5 linked regions of the Macaca mulatta genome follow. The protein of the gene in region 1 interacts with the protein of each later gene in a biochemical or structural test. Links are inferred from orthologs where the notes say so. Each region holds a gene or a part of one and is shown on either strand. Other genes may lie near its edges.

The links.
Region 2: of the proteins of RBBP8 (region 1) and ATM, one has a biochemical effect on the other in vitro, tested with the Homo sapiens proteins (4 studies listed by BioGRID, with this or other methods). The link is inferred for Macaca mulatta from reciprocal best matches to the Homo sapiens genes RBBP8 and ATM.
Region 3: the proteins of RBBP8 (region 1) and SIAH2 form a complex in vitro, tested with the Homo sapiens proteins (2 studies listed by BioGRID). The link is inferred for Macaca mulatta from reciprocal best matches to the Homo sapiens genes RBBP8 and SIAH2.
Region 4: the proteins of RBBP8 (region 1) and KLHL15 form a complex in vitro, tested with the Homo sapiens proteins (2 studies listed by BioGRID, with this or other methods). The link is inferred for Macaca mulatta from reciprocal best matches to the Homo sapiens genes RBBP8 and KLHL15.
Region 5: the proteins of RBBP8 (region 1) and CTBP1 form a complex in vitro, tested with the Homo sapiens proteins (3 studies listed by BioGRID and IntAct). The link is inferred for Macaca mulatta from reciprocal best matches to the Homo sapiens genes RBBP8 and CTBP1.

Annotation. Positions count from the first base shown.
Region 1 is NC_133423.1:69,421,051-69,424,570, forward strand, and holds part of RBBP8 (DNA endonuclease RBBP8), read right to left. Parts: intron 2,773-3,520; coding exon 2,668-2,772; intron 1-2,667. UniProt on the Homo sapiens protein: Endonuclease that cooperates with the MRE11-RAD50-NBN (MRN) complex in DNA-end resection, the first step of double-strand break (DSB) repair through the homologous recombination (HR) pathway.
Region 2 is NC_133419.1:109,102,051-109,105,570, reverse strand, and holds part of ATM (serine-protein kinase ATM), read right to left. Parts: intron 3,060-3,520; coding exon 2,688-3,059; intron 1,942-2,687; coding exon 1,747-1,941; intron 962-1,746; coding exon 866-961; intron 1-865.
Region 3 is NC_133407.1:53,779,099-53,781,774, forward strand, and holds the end of SIAH2 (E3 ubiquitin-protein ligase SIAH2), read right to left. Parts: intron 2,091-2,676; coding exon 1,533-2,090; 3' UTR 502-1,532; downstream 1-501. UniProt on the Homo sapiens protein: E3 ubiquitin-protein ligase that mediates ubiquitination and subsequent proteasomal degradation of target proteins.
Region 4 is NC_133426.1:23,827,328-23,831,365, reverse strand, and holds the start of KLHL15 (kelch-like protein 15), read left to right. Parts: upstream 1-1,218; 5' UTR 1,219-1,315; intron 1,316-1,498; exon of another isoform or gene 1,499-1,561; intron 1,562-4,038. UniProt on the Homo sapiens protein: Substrate-specific adapter for CUL3 E3 ubiquitin-protein ligase complex.
Region 5 is NC_133410.1:1,289,648-1,292,785, forward strand, and holds part of CTBP1 (C-terminal-binding protein 1), read right to left. Parts: intron 2,027-3,138; coding exon 1,812-2,026; intron 388-1,811; coding exon 257-387; intron 1-256. UniProt on the Homo sapiens protein: Corepressor targeting diverse transcription regulators such as GLIS2 or BCL6. Has dehydrogenase activity. Involved in controlling the equilibrium between tubular and stacked structures in the Golgi complex.

The sequences.
Region 1 (3,520 bases):
CTTGGCAACATGGTGAAACCCTGTTCTACAAAAATACAAATATTAGCCAGACATGGTGGTGTGTGCCTGTAGTCTCAGCTACTTGGGGGGCTGAGGTGGGAGGATTACTTGAGCCTGGGAGGTTGAGGCTGCAGTGAGCTGTGTTTGTGCCACTGCACTCCAGCCTGGGTGACAGAGAGAGACCTGGTCTCAAAAAAAAAAAAAAAAAAAAGAGAGAAAGAGAGAGACAGAAATAGAACAGGCACAGTACCACATATTTTGGAGAACAGCAACACTGATGACATTTACAGTCAGAAGCAGTTCAAGTGTAAGCAGTAACAAAGGGTTTGTGAATGCATTCTCCTCTCTTCAACCCCTGTAAGTCTCCCTCCCTTCCCCTATACCCTGCTCCTCTAGCACTTTTCTCTCCCCTCCTTTCCTCCTTCCCTCCCCCTTCCCTCTCTCTTCCTCTCTTGCGGGTGGGGGTGGGAGTAGAATCCATATTACAGTGAGTTGGAGTGAATGCGAATTAGGAAAGTAGAGATATTGAATATAGACTTTAATACTTTTTCACCTCTGAAGAGAAGCTGTAGCTAAAGGTGGAGATTATTAAAAGTGGGGTTATTTTTTAAAGATGGAAGATAACATATACGTGTATATACTTAAAAATGACAGCAGAGAAACTGTAGATACTGTATAAGGAAGACAGGACAAATAATGGAGCAAAGACCTGGCAGCAACAGAAGAGAATTGGTTCTAGAGAGCTGAGAAGCAAGGATCTGCTGCACTCAGTGTTATATCCCTAGCACCTCAGTGTTATATCCCGAGGACCCGGAGCCTCCATGCACATGCACACATACTCATGGACAGACAAACAGACACACATGTTAATATAAAATGATTAGTAGCTTTCAGAATGTAACTTTTATACTATTATAAAATGAATAAGAGATTAACCTTGACCAACCCTTACAACTGGGCTCTGGATCTCATCTCCTCTGACCTTTTTAAGGATGTAGCAATTGTTCCCTCTTTCTCCAGAATTATTAATTTTCTCCTCTTTACTTGATCATCCTATCAACATAAATATGTGCTAATCATGCTATAATATTCCATCTTGAAAAAATCATCCCTTGACTCATGTTCTTCTTTAGCCACTGTCCTGTTCTCTCCTCCTCTTGACTGTCAAGTCTTGGAAGACTTGTTTGTATGTGCTCTTTCCACTTTCTCTGTCCTTAGCTTCCTTTGAACATGAGACAGATCTCAGATGGTCAATATTACACCTTAACAGTTTTTATCATGTCACTAGTTCAACACTCAGTGATCTCCATGCAACCAAATCCCATGGTCAATTCTAAGAAGTCTTCATCTTACTTGACTTATTAGCATTGTTAAACACAGTTGACCACCCCTTCGTCCTCTCTCCACTTGGCTTAAAGGACATCATTTTTAGTTTTCCTATCTCATTGGCAGCTCCTTCTCTGTTTTGTTGGTTCCTACTCATTTTCACAACCTCAACAGCTACAATCTTTTCTCTAAGGGAGTAAAAATGGTTTGGGGCAGGCGGGAGCAAAAAAAACCTTACTATGTATAAAGCACAGACATACATGCATACACGTATCACTTAAACAGATATACAGTATATCTGTAGTACTAAAACTCCAGTAGGGAAGGGATTGGGGGGAGGGGGAAATGTCTAAAAAAGCTGGGGTGGGGGTTCTTCAACAAAAGAAAAGTTGAAAATCATGGCTTTACGTAATGAAGTTCCTTAAGGCTCAATACTTGGACTTCTCATTCCCTTCTATTATCACTTGCTTGGTAATCTCATTTAGTTTTATGGCTTAGATGCCATCTACATGCTGACAACTTCCATGTGTCTCCATCCTAAACTTCTCTAAATTCTAACTCACATCTACTCACGAATCCAAACTCTACCTGAATGTTGAGTTTGCATTTCAAATGGAATATTCCCAAAACGAAACTTCTAATTTCTACTCATCCCTGCCCCAACCTATACACCTGTGGCTCCCAGTCTCTTCCATCTCAGTAAATGGTAACTCTATTTTTCCTTTTGTCCAAACCAATCTCCCCTTCACTCACTCTGCTCCAGCCACACAGGGTTCCTTAATGTTCCTCAAACAAACCAAATGCCATCTTCACTGCAAGGCCTCTGGGCTTGCAAATCTCTCTGCCTGGGTGCCCGTCTCCCAGATAGCCACGTGACTCACTTCCCTCCCTCAGTCCTTATGCAAACGACACTTTACCAGTGAGGCTTTCTAATATCCCTTCTTACCCTGCTTTACTTTTCTTCAGAGCACTTGCTTCTATCTGACATAAATTTTATTTCTCCCTCAACTAGATCATAAGCTCCATGAGGACAAGGGCTTTGTTTTACTTAGTGCCTGGTATACAACAGATGCTTAAATATTTGTTGAACAAATAAGTAAATTACAGTAAAGCCTTCTTTACTTAAAATTATTAGTAATTTATATTAATATCATTAGGGATATTTATATGAACTAATAGGATAACATTACTTTCCAATATGAAAAAGATAGTAAACTAGTAATATAAACAAAATTATACAGAAAATACCTTTAAAATATTGTCTAAGTTAGACTGTGGGTCACTCTTACCCACCAATAACCACAATTTAAACTTGTAAAGTAATCTCAGTATCTTGCTTACTGGCCATTGGAGGTTGACTTTGGTCATAAGTGTCAGCTACTAGAATTTCATTTTCATTAGGATTATGTTGTGGATGAGTTGAAGACTTGGAAACTTTTCTCAATTCTAAGGGGAGAAAAAAATAAGAGATTACATAATAAACAATGATGAAAAGTATTATCAAATTATTTTTATTTATTCATATTTAAAATTTTAATGTATTATCTGTATTTAAATACAAGTACCATTTTATTGACCTAATTATTGTATTCTAAGAAGTAAGCTCCTTTAATTTCACTAAGAAACAAAGCAGTTTAAGTTAAGACATTGGGAGAGAGGGGACTAGAACAGACAGCTTCTTTTGACCCAAACTGCCCAGAGTAGTAACATTTTAGTGTTACTTTTCTTTTTTTATTTGTTACACATCAGCAGGTTAATTTAAAAAGGTATACTGGGCTGGGCACAGTGGCTCATGACTGTAATCCCAGCGCCTTGGGAGGCTGAGGCAGGAGGATCTCTTGAGCCTAAAAGTTCCAGGCTACATTAAGCTACAGATCACACCACAGTACTCCATCCTGGATGATAGAGTAAGACCCTATCTCAAATAATCAATCAATAAACAAATGATTAAGCATCTAATGTATACTATATCATTTATCTCCATGATCTTTTAGAGTTTTTATTTCCAGGAAGGAAACTCTGAAGCATGTGTTATCAGAAATCACTCCAATATTTAAAGATTTAGTTCAAAGAGAACCAAAATAAGGACAAAGTAAAGTAAAACAGTTTTACTATTTGTAACTTGAGAATAATATTAAAAAGCATTATAAACCTTACAATAAGTAAGCAAGGGAAGTTAGAGAACAGGACTAAT
Region 2 (3,520 bases), on another chromosome or scaffold:
AAATGCTTCTCTCCTTTGGACTTTGATACCTACTTGTATCAAATTTCATTATTCAGTAGCAAAATTTACCAATAGACAGAGAAAAAAATATAAGTTACAATTTCAAAGGCAAATTCAGAAAGTATTTTTAAAATTACCAGATATCAATGTTAAGCATAACATTGTCTGCAAACACAACCCTTTTTTCACCAAGCAGAAGGAGTAACAAGCATAGATTTAAAAACCTTTAATATCTGGTATGGTTAAGCAGTTACGCATCCTTTGGGTTAGAAAAGTAACGATCTTGCTACCAAAGTTTCATTATTGTTGTTGGTATTTATTTGTTTTTCACTATTAATTTCTCCAAAAAGTAGGAATTTTTTTCATCTTTTGCCCTCTTGAGGGAGATAAGGAATCTTTGTGCCAGTGAGTCGTTTTCAGTCACAGTAATACAATTTAAGTCTCTTGAGTCAATCAACTAAAATCAGGTTTAGATTTATTTTTGTTTTCAATTATCCTTAGTTTTTAAAGCTAACAAATAGTCAAATCATAGTTGATGTACAGAAATGGGTAACATCTTTAAGAACTTATTTCATATAAATTATATATTCTTAATTTCCCAGCATAACCACTCAACTTTTCTCATTGGCACTTGCCACATATTGTACTATACAGCATTAAAAAATAGTAACCTTGGTCTAATGTTATATAACACAGATTACAACCACTGAATTAAAACAACCTCTTCCCTGGGTAACAGTTGCAATTTGTTTTGGACCAATTTAGTTTACAATTATTAAGATACAGCTACTACACAACTAAAATTATCATCTTCGTAATTAAAGCTATAGCTTAAAATGACAAAGAACATTATTAGATAACATACCATTCTGGCACACTTTGGAAAAAATTCATTGCAGCTTTACAGTTTTTCATAGTGAGACTCACAAGAATTTTCTCCAGTACAAGATGAGGAAAATTACTATAAAGAAAAACCAAAAGCTTCACTTAGAAGACCAAAAGCCACATAAAGAATACTTTAAACTTTAACATCCACGTTTAGCTATAAATCTTGACTTCTAAAATTTGGATCCTAGATTAAAATTGCTTTCATCTATACTGAATTTCTTAATATCTAAAAGGATAATTTAAGGAGGACAACCATTGTTACTATCATTTCCAATACTGTTTAGAAATAGGATGTCTGATTAACAGTATTTCTGAAGTAAATAAAAGGTTGTAAAATTAAAGCAAAAGTTCTTTAATTGGATCCATTCAGAGGTCTGCTCTCCAATCATTTGGTTCCAATTACCATCTGTGCAAAGGTTAAGTGGACAAGTGACTCCATTCCTTTATCCTAGTGCTTACATCCTGTTTTGTCTTCCTCATTTCCTCACCTTATCTATAAAACATATTTTACCCAAAAGACACTCCCATTATGAGAAAGGATCCAGGATCTACATAACTGAGATATATGGACTTATTTATTTAAAAAATCAGAAAGGAACACATAAATGCTCAAAGAATTATATGTGCATTCTTCATGCACATCCCCCATATTCTCACAGTGAGACAACTCTTTATTTCAGAAGCAATCAGGTATAAAGACACAGATAGACTGTAAAAACAAATGTAATATTTAATAATTAAGGTTAGATCTGGGAGATTCTGCATTACTATTATAAAATAAAGCCAAGTGGCATCAAGTAAGTGGAGAGAGCCTGACAAAACAAAAAAACCAGCAGCATGCTAACGAACTTAAATTACCTGTGAAGAATTGGAGGCACTTCTGTACTATTTTCTAAGTCACCCTCTAGCTGATAGAATAAGAGCCATTTCATTATTGATTCCTTTAAAGAAAAGCTTCTATTTACTTCACACATATTTTGCTCTATTCCCATTTTTACTGTTCCAGGAACTACACTGGTGGTCAGTGCCAAAGTCAAACAGCATACTGCAGGACTATAACAAAACAAAGGACAATTATGAAAAGCAAGCTCTTGAAGGAGCAAAGACTTTATCTATCAGGACAGTGGCTGGCACAAACATTTAGTTAAGTTGACTAAATGAACATAAAAATTGTTAAAAGTCTGATTACATTTGGGAAGATTCTTGATTAAAAAATAGTTCTTTTATTAACAGTGGATAGTACTACAATTTTAACAAGGCTATTGAATAAATAATGATAAATTGCACATAAAAGAAATTTAAACTCTTGGTAATTCTTTAAAGAAAGTCTTTTGGATACACATATACAATTAGAAGGAATAAGACCTGGTGTCTGATACATCAGTAGGATGACTACGGTTAACATTAATCTACTGTACATTTCAAAATAGCAAGAAGAGAATAATTCAAATGTTCCTGGCATGAAGAAAAGATATGTAGGGTGATGATATCCCATCACTCTACATGAGTGTGTCATATGAGTGTGTCAAATTATCACATGTACCTTGAAAATATATAACTCTATCATAGATCAATTAAAAATTTTTTAATTAAAAAAAGAAATTCCTTAACATTAGGCTTTAATAATTTGTCGACATTTATGCATTTATTAAGTCTTCTTGGCCAAACAAGAAAAGCATCTGAAATAGAATTTGACATCTTTAACTGAAGTAACAAACTATGAAAATGATCAGGGATATGTGAGTGTGTGTCTGTGTGTGTTTATATGTAAAGTCAGACATAATGCATGCTAAACTTACCATGAAGGTCTGCAGGCTGACCCAGTAAATAACTTCCAGAATTCTCTGTCAACCTCAACTAAACTACTCTGAATTATGGCTCCAAGTAAGCCAAAGTTTTCAGCTTGTATTTGCTCAGAACTTATACCACGAAAGGTAATACACCAAATTTTATTCCAGAGTTTTAATAAATCTGACTTTTGTGAGCTTTCTAGGTTTGACCTCTTGTCTTGGCACAGTGCAACTTCCGTAAGGCATCGTAACACATACGGTGTACGTTCCCCATGTCGCTGTTGGGGTAGAAGCTGAGAGAGTATCATCAGTAATGGAGACAGCTCACAGTTAGGTAAACTTGCAGGATACTTTGATATTAATTGGGTTGCAATCTGTAGCCTAAAAAAAAAGGGGGGGGTTAATTTGAAAACTATTCAATCACATTAACAAACTAAGAGGAAATATACAGACATGGTACTCTTAACAATATCCTAATTAGAGAATCACCATCATCATTTCCATAGTACTCTAAAAATAAACTGGCTCTTAATAGTTACTATGTCCTACTTCCTAAATTGCCAGGAAAATTGTCAACGTTTTGGCTAGCTGGGTAAGTTGTTAAGTTTCCCTTAAACAAACATTTTAAAAGATGTTAAATTAGCAATATTTGGGCCAGGTGTGGTGGCTCACAACTGTAATCCCACCACTTTGGGAGGCCAAGGCAGGTGGCTCACGAGGTTAGGCATTCGAGACCAGCTGGCCAACATGGTGAAACCCAATCTCTATTAAAAATACAAAAATTAGCCAGCCATGGTGGCACATGCCTGGAATCCCAGCTAGTCAGAAGGCTGAGGCAGGAT
Region 3 (2,676 bases), on another chromosome or scaffold:
CATGCCATTGCACTCCAGCCTCCGTCTCAAAAACAAAAACAACAACAACAACAAAAAAGGGAAACTGGGACACTGAAGTAAGCAGCCTTCAATCCTTGCTGAGCATTTGGCCCTAATCCTCTCAATTCTTTTGAGAGTTTAGGGTTGGGACTGAGGCAGTGGGTCACCATGGATCAACCCTAGCACTCTGGATGTCAGCACTGGCCAAGCGTCTTCCTTCTGACTCTGTAAAGCAGGAGCAATCCTCTTCTTGCACAGCTACTGGCACCATCAGATAGAAACGACAGCCCTGGGAGGAGACCTGCTGCACTGACATTCAGTGGTTCAGACACGTGAGCCCGGACCCCAGTGCTGTCATGGACCCACGCCATGACTTGGCCCAGTGACTGTTTCCACAGTGGAAACAGTGAAAGTTCCAACCCCAGATGTAGTGATGAAGGTTCACTACATGAATTGCACACAGTAGATGCTCAATAAATACCCGTTATTCAATTAGGGAAATGAAGCACAACATCCATTTTTGGAAAATATTTATTAAAAAACTAGTGAATGTGGCAGAAAAACAAAACCAACACACAGCTTTAAATAGCAAGCATATGACACACCGGTTATAAAGCTTTTCCAACTCTACTGACCTCGTCTTTCACACCAGCTACTGTCGACGAGGGCTTCCGAGGGAAGCCATGTGTAAACGGGTCATCTGTACTAGTGGTGAGCAAAACTAATTACATGAGAACTATCAATGGCCATATGACTTTCTTTCCTAGGCAATCCACCCAAAACATAGGTGAGTGACCAAATCTCAGGCGTGTGTTCATGTGGATCTATAGTTCTACTAGTTTTAATTTGAGGGTTGGGGGAGGTTAGGGGATGAAACAGTAGAAAGACAAACAGTATCGGCAGAGGGCAACCTTAAAGCACCTTTAAAATCTGGACCCTTTCCCACAATTTAACCCAGTAATTCTCAAACATTACTGCTGAAAAGAATCACCTGATGAGACTGTTAAATTGGCAGGCTCCCTAAATCTGCAATTTTAAGATAAGCACTCCGGGTGATTCAGTGTCTATTAGCCAGCCATCCTATTTGAGAAACACTGTTTAAAATGCATTAAAACAATTCCTACATCCCACAAACAAAAGTAAAGGAATCTGCTGACAGTCACTGTGCTTTTGTCAATGTCAAGGGACCAATACGCGAAGGCAGGCAGGAAGGGGCCTCCCATTCCTGACACACTGATCTATAGAAGCCCTGTGCAACAGCCTGTCAAGTGTTGTTTAGGGAGTAAATACAATTTAATAAGAGTTGTTTTAGATCACAGAACAGCCTCCAAATTACCAACAGGCCAACCCCATTCATCCCAGGTTAATGAACTTTGTTGGGTTGAAGCCAGATGGGAAACTGCTGTTCAAACAAAACACGGGTAATTGTGGGTCCTGACTTGTGAAGACATATGGAATAAAACATCTATAAAAACCTTTATTAAACATAGAGCACTATGCCCAAATAATTTTGATGGTTTACGAAAGTCACATCATGGACAACATGTAGAAATAGTCACATTGATTCCAAGGTTCCCATTATCTGCAAAAAGATGTGCTATGGCTGTGTCGAAAACAAGGCAGTCGCTGTTCATGATGGCCGCAGCCACACCGTCATGAATCGACCGGGGTGTGGCCTCCCAGGTCAATCTCCGCCGGTTCCCATTCAACTCCAGTCTATAGGCAAAGTTCTCAGCTTGCTTGCGGGTGCCAATGAGCAGGACGATGGCAAAAAACTGCTGGTGGCCTTCGTACTTCTCTTGTTTCTCCAGCACCAGCATGAAGTGATGGCCAAAACATGACTGCATCATCACCCAGTCGACAGCCCCTGGCAAGTTAATGTCTGTAGCTAGAAAGACGATGTCTTCTCCTTGGAGGGTGGTAATGCTCTTGTGGGCATGCATGAGATGGGACATCACAGCTTCCAGGGACCCCTGCCACTTGCAGGAGGCACCAGGACAAGGGCAGGAGTAGGGACGGTATTCACAGATGTCTTCATGTTCTGGTTTCTCCGTATGGTGCAGGGTCAGGGAACAGCCCGTGGTGGCATACTGCAGAGAAAGAAATGCATTGAGCCATTGGGCCTTCTCAAAACTTCTATTGCTTCAACCCTCTCTGAGTACTTAACTACTCCCTTTTCCTGGCCTTAAACTGGTCTTGGCTACTTTTGCTCAAAACAAGTGAAATATTCAAGACTAAAAGTCTCAGTCTCTGCTCATCATCAATGCTGTCATGCATAAAATCAAGGGTCTTTTCCTGAACCAGAAATATGCTGTTTTCCATGCCCCCTGTTCTGCTGTCAAAAGGATAAGAACTAAAGTTCTCTTACTATGCACATCTCAAAATTGTTGAGTAAGCCCTGTAAAATCTGGTCTTCCTCATATTTTCGGTGAAGCTGTTTTTTAAAGAATTCAATTGCTTGGGGGTAGGGATGGGGTTGGGCAAGGATTATTATATTATCCCCAGATTAGTTTTTACATACAGACAATATGAACAACAGTATAATTCTATTGTCCCCCTCCACTGCTTCCTGGCTCAAACTGGTGACTGGCAGGCAGGCCGTGGGGAAGGCTGCCCTTTGGTTCCTTGCTCTTTGCTGCTGGCATGACCAGGCTAGGGCAGCGGAGGCCTGGAGGC
Region 4 (4,038 bases), on another chromosome or scaffold:
GTGCAGCAAGCCAAGTGGACAGTGACGCAATAATCCACTGCAAGTTGCCTTACAAAAATGATGTCATTTGGCGCAGATCTAGTCACTTTTATAACAGGTAGCTATGGAAAAGCTCCCTCCACGTTGTCCCCGATTCCCCCACCCCCACCGTGGCCAAGATGCAAAAAGACACTTTCCTGGCTTCCTAGCCCTCAACTTGTCGAGGGTGGGCGCACCTCAGTGGCTCGGGGCCCATCGCTCGTGCAGGCGGAGAGGGACCAAGGGGACGAGGACAGCTGAGTGTCCTCAGCCCCGACGGCGGCGCCGCGGGGGAAGCTGCGTCGGGCCCAGTCTGGGGCCGCGACGCCCGGTCGCCTGTTTTCCTCGGTGGGAAACCGCTGGCGTGGCGGGCCGGCAGCCGGGACGCGGGGCGCCGCGGGCGCGGGACAGCCTTCCCCGCCAGCCCCCCACCCCCGTTCCCACACCGGCTCCCGCTCCCGTGGCGCCGGAAGTGACGCGCTTTAGGCTGAAAGATGGCGGCATTGGCGCTCGACCAGGGGGAAGGTAAACACCCGCCAGGCCACAGGCTGGCCCCCTCGGGGCGCCAGCAGGGGCCGAGGGGGGGCCTCCCGGGCCAGCTCCCCGCCCCCAACGGCTTCCCACCCTCCGCCCTCTCTCCCAGCGTGGCGGGCTTCCGCGTCAAGACGACGGCGCACGGGGCCCCGTGCCGGCCAGCCCCGCCTCCCTGGGCGGGCCCCGGGCGGCTCCCGCGGCCCGCAGGGGGCGCGCGGCCCGGAGCGGCCCCCGGCTCGTGGCCCCGCACGCCCCGCCCCTTCCCCGCCCCTTTCCCGCCTTCCTCCACCCCCGGCGTGGGTGATCCCGAGGCTCGGCGCGCTTCGGGGCAGAAGCTCGGAGACGCCGTCCTCGACGCTACCTTCTCTGGTGCTTCTGTCTCTGCCTGCTGCCCCCCAGCCCTTTCCCCCGCCCGCGGCCCCAGTCGGCCCTCCCGCCGAGCCCCGCCGGGTGCTGCGAGGCCCCCGGCGTTGGCAAGGTCGGTCCGGGCCCCGACGCCGCGCCGCCTCGTGCGGAGCCCGACTGTCTGGTTTCGCGACTCAGCGCTGTCTTCTTTCCCAGGACTTATCCAGAGGGTGCTGCAGGCGAGCACGCTCGTGCCCCGCCGGAGCGACCCGGCTCGTGCCGGCAGCGGCCGCTCGTAGACGTCCGAGAAGCCTGCCGAGTGCCGTCCCGGCGCCCGACCGCCCACCCATTGGCCCGCCGGCCCGGTTCTTCCTGATGCAGACTGCCGTCCACTAGAGGCTGGACAGGACCCCCCGAGGTACGTAGCCGCCCCTGGCCGCCGGCCTGCGGAGCCCGGGCTTCGCCCGCGACCCCGAGCTAGGCACGAATTCGCCGGCCCTCTCTACACGGACCCGAGTCAAACATTGGGTAGACGCCGGGACCTCATTTGTCTTTGAGTTTACTTAAATTGTTTGAAATGTAATTTTTTTTTTTTCCCCAGAGAGAGCGAGAAAGAAAAAGGAAGAAGCATAATTCAGCCATTTTTTGCAGCACACAGCTGCAGGTACCATGATTATTTTTTCCCTAACCCGTTCCTTCCCTTTAACAATTCAATTTATGCCTGAAATAGAACTATGCGAAATGCGAGGCATAAAACTAGGAATCGGAAGGTCTGGGTTCGACTTGGGTGACTCTGAGAAAAAATCGCGTACCGAGCCTCGGTTTCTTATCTATGAAATATAGTCGGTAGTACCAACATCGCAGGGTTGAGAGGACTATATGAGGTCATATATGTGAAAATAATCCTTAACTGTAGAGTGTTGTAAGAATTCAAGGCCGTTTTTTAAAGTAACCTTTGCTAGAGTGGTTAATGTAGTGGCTAACTGTTGCTGCCTCTTTATTTCTATATTACAAATAAAAGCAAATAAGTACGGAATAATAGTAAAGCAGTGCTGTGAATCCATAGATCTATAATAGTCACGTTGCTTGGCCTTCCTCCTACGAAGTGCTAACTGCTTATTTAAATAACGGTATTCTTTAATTCAAATGTAACGTTACTGTAGGCGCTTTGCTTTTCCTCGTTCTAGGCCGCTTTAGGCCCCTTTTCTTACTCTGAATATTTAGTTAACACCTTACATTTGTTTAGTCTTTTCTGTTTTCCGAATTTGTTTGCCTTTGTTGATCTGATTAAGTGGTAATTTAGAAAATGCCTTGCAGACATACATACCCTAATTTTAATGCCTGTTTTTCATATCTAGGGAGCAGGATGCTCTAATACTTCTACTAATTTGAAAATTGGTTAAGAGCTTATCAATGCATTCATGTTTCAGTAATCCTTAATAGATCTAGAAATGTATAGAACATTTCAACTTTTTAGCACTTAATGTAATTATATAATTTGATTCTCATTTTTAATCATCACATGTAGTAGGTGCTTAGAGTCACAGTTTATCAGTGGTAGAGGATGTTAACTTGCACTCTTCATTGCTGATTAATTTGGGGAAAGAATAGGATAGTAAATATTTGTGGTTTGAAAATTGAATTTATTTTGCCAGAATTTATATGTGTAACAGATCAGTATGGATCATTTTTACTTGGCACATCAAAAATATAGTATGGTTTGGCTTAAATGGTCCACAAAAAGTGAAAAAGAAGCATTTTTGGGTACATTGTTATTTTTAGCTAACAAATGGTTTTGAGTAGTTAGGTTTTATTAAATTTATGATTGTCTAGTCCAATATCGGTTGTCTTTTCAGAGTATGCTTTTGTGTTTTGTAAAAAGGCAGAATAATAGAAGTTGGACAGGATTAACATAGTAAAAGGAAAAGCCTACTTCAAAGTGGTTGGTTTTATAGATTGGATTTATCACTTAACTTGAAGATAAAATTTTGACAAATCATTGCTTTATTGGGAATTTGAAGGTTTGACCTTCTCTCTACCTCGAGTCGGGTTATCTCAGAAACCTAACCTTGACCAGGGCAGGCTTGCCTTCATGGATGTTCAGAAGGGCCCCACGCTTGGTTTAATAATCTGCATGTAAAACTGGGATTGTACAGTATAAGGGTGAATGGTAAAAGTCATGCTAATTTAAATTTTTAATTTTCCTTTACTCAGAACGACATTAAACATAAAATTTAAAAAACACCCATGAGAGCCGGGAGCGGTGGCTCACGCCTGTAATCCCAGCACTTTGGGAGGCCGGGAGTTTGAGACCAGCCTGACCGACGTGGAGAAACCCCGTCTCTACTAAAAATACAAAATTAGCCGGGCGTGGTGGCGCACGCCTGTAATCCCAGCTACTCTAGTTCTAGCTACTCTGGAGGCTGAGGCAGTAGTAGAATCTCTTGAACCCGGGAGGCGGAAGTTCTGGTGATCCAAGATGGCGGCATTGCACTCCAGCCTGGGCGACAAGAGCAAAACTCCGTCTCAAAAAAAAAACGCCGTGAAATAGTCGAGAGATACAGAAGAAAGGAAAAAGCTTTATATTTTACTGCTTTTGACGACTTTTTTTTTTCTTTTTTTTAAGACAGAGTCTTGCTCCGTCGCCCAGGCTGGAGTGGAGTGGCGCGATCCTTGCTCACTGGAACCTCCACCTCCTGGCCTCAAAGGATTCTTGGGCCTCAGCCTGCTGAGTAGCTGGGATTACAGGCATGCACCACCACGCCCGGCTAATTTTTGTATTTTTGGTAGAGACGGGGTTTCACCATGTTGGCCAGGCTGGTCTCAAACTCCTGGACTCAAGTGATCCGCCCGCCTTGGCTTCCCAAAGTGCTGGAATTACAGGCGGGAGTCGCCGCACCCAGCTTTTTTTTTTTTTTTTTTTCCTCTTTTGAGACAGCCTTGCTCTGTCTCCTAGGCTGGAGTGCAGTGGCGCGATCTCGGCTCACTGCAACCTCCGCCTCCTGGGTTCAAGCTATTCTCCTGCCTCAGCCTCTCTGGTAGTTGGAATTACAGATGCGCGTCACCATGCTCAGCTAATTTTTGTATTTTTAGTAGAGACGGGGTTTCACCACATTAGCCAGGCTGGTCTCGAACCACTGA
Region 5 (3,138 bases), on another chromosome or scaffold:
CTCTCCTGGCTGGTGGGGAGCCCTGCCCGAAGAGGGGCTGAGGAGGACGATCAACCCTCACAGGACCGAGGCGAGGCAGGCCTGGAGCCCGTGGCTCCGTCCTCACCCCACAGTGAGCAGCAAACTCCCCCATGCCGGCCAGCGAGAGGCCTGAGTACAAGCAAGTGCCCGGCCTGGCGGAGGCGCCATCTGCAGGTCAAGGCCGGCAGGATGGTGGGCAGGGAAGAGCAGGGGGTGACACTGGCTGTGAGGGCACCTGAAGGGTTCCGACTCGTGCACGTCCAGGGCCGCGCCGCGGATCCGGCCCTCCTTCAGGGCCTGGGCCAGCGCCTTCTCGTCCACCAGGCCGCCCCGGGCTGTGTTCACCAGGAAGGCCCCTTGTCTCATCTGGAAGACATGAGGACAGGCCAGGCCCAGTCAGGGTTCCGTGCAGGGCGAGCGGCCAGGGAAGCAAGGTGGTCACGCACGCTGCTGAGGAGGCCCAGCTCCCTGGCCCCTTCCCAGCCCAGGCCCACCCTGGGCTCACCAGGGTGCTAGGACTTAAGACCTCAGGCGTGCTGCGCCGCGGCCCTGGCAAGCTGGCTGAGGTTCGGCCCTGGCAGACCTGCATGGCCCCACACCTCCTAGAGAGCTCTACGTTCCTGCCCAAGCCCTGAGCTGAGGACTGGGTGGGGGCTCCTGGCTTGGTCCCCCTGTGGTACCCCTTCTCTGGGTCCCCTCCAGCCCAGCCTCCCCCAACAGGGCCTCGGCCCACGAGGTGGGACTCCCTGGGATGACAAAGCCCAGGGCCGTCTACTCTGAGGTGTGGTGTTTGACTCCAACCCCAGTGGGGCCTCCGGACAGGCTCACTTTTCATGCACTTTTGCAAAAGGCCCTTGCAGTGGCTCCCTGTCAGCTTCGTGGCCAGGGCTTTCCTGCAACCCCCCCATTTCATTCCGAGGAAGCCCACCCAGCCATTGCACTTGGGTGGCAGCCGGGTGGGTCACGGTGGCTTTTCTTTGGTGAGTTGCTGCCCATTGCAGCCTCACACCCAAGGTCCTCAGGGATGGCAGGGCCCTGACCAGCATCCACGTGCCACACCCTGTCCACTAGAAGGCTCCAAACCCACTGGCTCTGTGAACAAAGGAAGGGGAGGTGGGCACCTGGTTTCATCCTCCCTGTGGCTACAGGCTGCTGGGGCAGCTTGAGTGGGTGGGTGGCCTCTGACACGTGTACACACACGCACACACAAGCTCAAACGGGCAGACACAGGCACCCACACACACTTGCCCACATACACACACATCACCGTGCACACATAACGACTCCCTGAAAGGCCAACAGCCAGCGGGAGGCAGCCGTCCCGAGCTCCGCCCACCCGAGCTCCGCCCACCCGAGGGAAACACGGGCTGAGGCTGCGCTCTGCGCTGAGCTGAGGCAGAGGCCGACCTGAGCACAGCCCTCTCCAGCTGCAGATGTGAAACCTGAACCTGGCAGCACAGGATGGAAGTCAGAAGGGCAGGCCCAATGCCCCCAGGTAGCTGCATCATCTCCACTGTGACAGTGGCAAGAGCTTCAGGGGAATTTAGGATTCAAAGGTATGTGGTTCTGTCTTATCCAGAGTATTTCAGGCATCCTGGGTAGAACTCAGAACATGGAAAACGCCATCTGGGCAGACAGGGCTTCCCCCAGCAGGGCCGGCACCGCCGCCATGTGGCTCACTGAAGGCAGGGTCTCGCCCAGGTGCAGGTGGTTGCTGGGAGGGACCTTCCTGACACCCCCACCTGTGCCTGCCCCGCAGAAGGAGAGCCCTGTGCCCCGGCTCCACGCACCTGCTTGACGGTGAAGTCGTTGATGAGGTGGTGGTTGTGCTCGTTGAGGCCGCAGTGCAGGCTCACGCAGTCGCTGTGGAAAAGCAGGTCCTGCAGGGTGCTGACCCGCTGCAGCCCCAGCGCCCGCTCCACGCCGTCCGACAGGTAAGGGTCGTAGAAGAGCACGTTGAAGCCGAAGGCCTTGGCCCGCAGCGCCACCGCCTGCCCCACGCGACCTGGTGGTGTCAGGACACAGTGTGAAACCCTCGCTCACCCGTGGCTGGGAGGCTAGCCCTGACAGCCAGGATCGGAGTGGCCCCTGTGCCTCAGTTTGACCATCTGCCAAGGACACCAGCTGTGGTCAAGCCAAGGTGCCGGCGCGAGGTATCTCCACACGAGGTGTCTGCTCCCAATGCGCCCACTGCCAAGGTGGAGGCTGTGCACGGGGGGGAAAGGGTGCACGAGCCCCTCGGCCCACACCAGCTGCCAGCCACGCCCCCCCGCAGCCTGTCCACAGGACGTGACACGAACCACTCAGTGTCAAACGGACCGTCAGCGGGTCTCCACTCACCCCACACACGCCCTATGTGCCCAGGTCCCTCCACTGGCCTGCTTTCCGGTCCACCCATCGATGTCTCTGGCATCTCAGTTCCAGCCACGACTAGGTGGAGATGGCAAAGGGGGCGGGAGGGAACCTTCCAGACCAGGGAGGCCCCGCTGGGCTCATGTCCTGTCCCCTTCCAGTGGAGTGGCAGAGAAAGCCATCCCGGGCAGACGTGCCTGCCCCGACCCCAGCAGTCCAAGGCTGGCGTGGGCCCCAGCACAGGAGCCACGGAGCCAGAGCCACCATTTCCTCCCCGGGGAAGGGTCGGCAGGGTGCATGCGCCCACCGTGAGCCAACAGCACGGCTGCAAGGGACACAGGACCCCGGAAGCCCAGACGCGGCTGCGAAGGACACAGGACCTCAGAAGCCCAGACGCGGCTGCGAAGGACACAAGAACCCAAGCCCGCCAATGTGGTGTCTCCTGCATCGCCTCAGAGGGAACCGCTGCACAGGAAGGAAGCCGGCTGGGCGCTGGGGCAGGAGGGAAGCGGGTGCAGTTACAGAGGTGGCAGCCAGGGCAGGCATCCCTGAGAAGACCAAGCTTGTTGGAGACATGAGGGGATGGGAAGGGAGCCGAAGAGCTGGAACAACACGTGTGAGGGGCCCACGGTGGCGGCGGCCTGAGGGCCAAGGAGACCAGACCGCCAGGCAGACAGGGCAGCCAGATGTGGCCCAAACGCCCAGGGGACTCCCAGTCACTTGGGAACAGCCTGGGGGAGGCTGGGAGGCCAGTCAGAAGAGCTG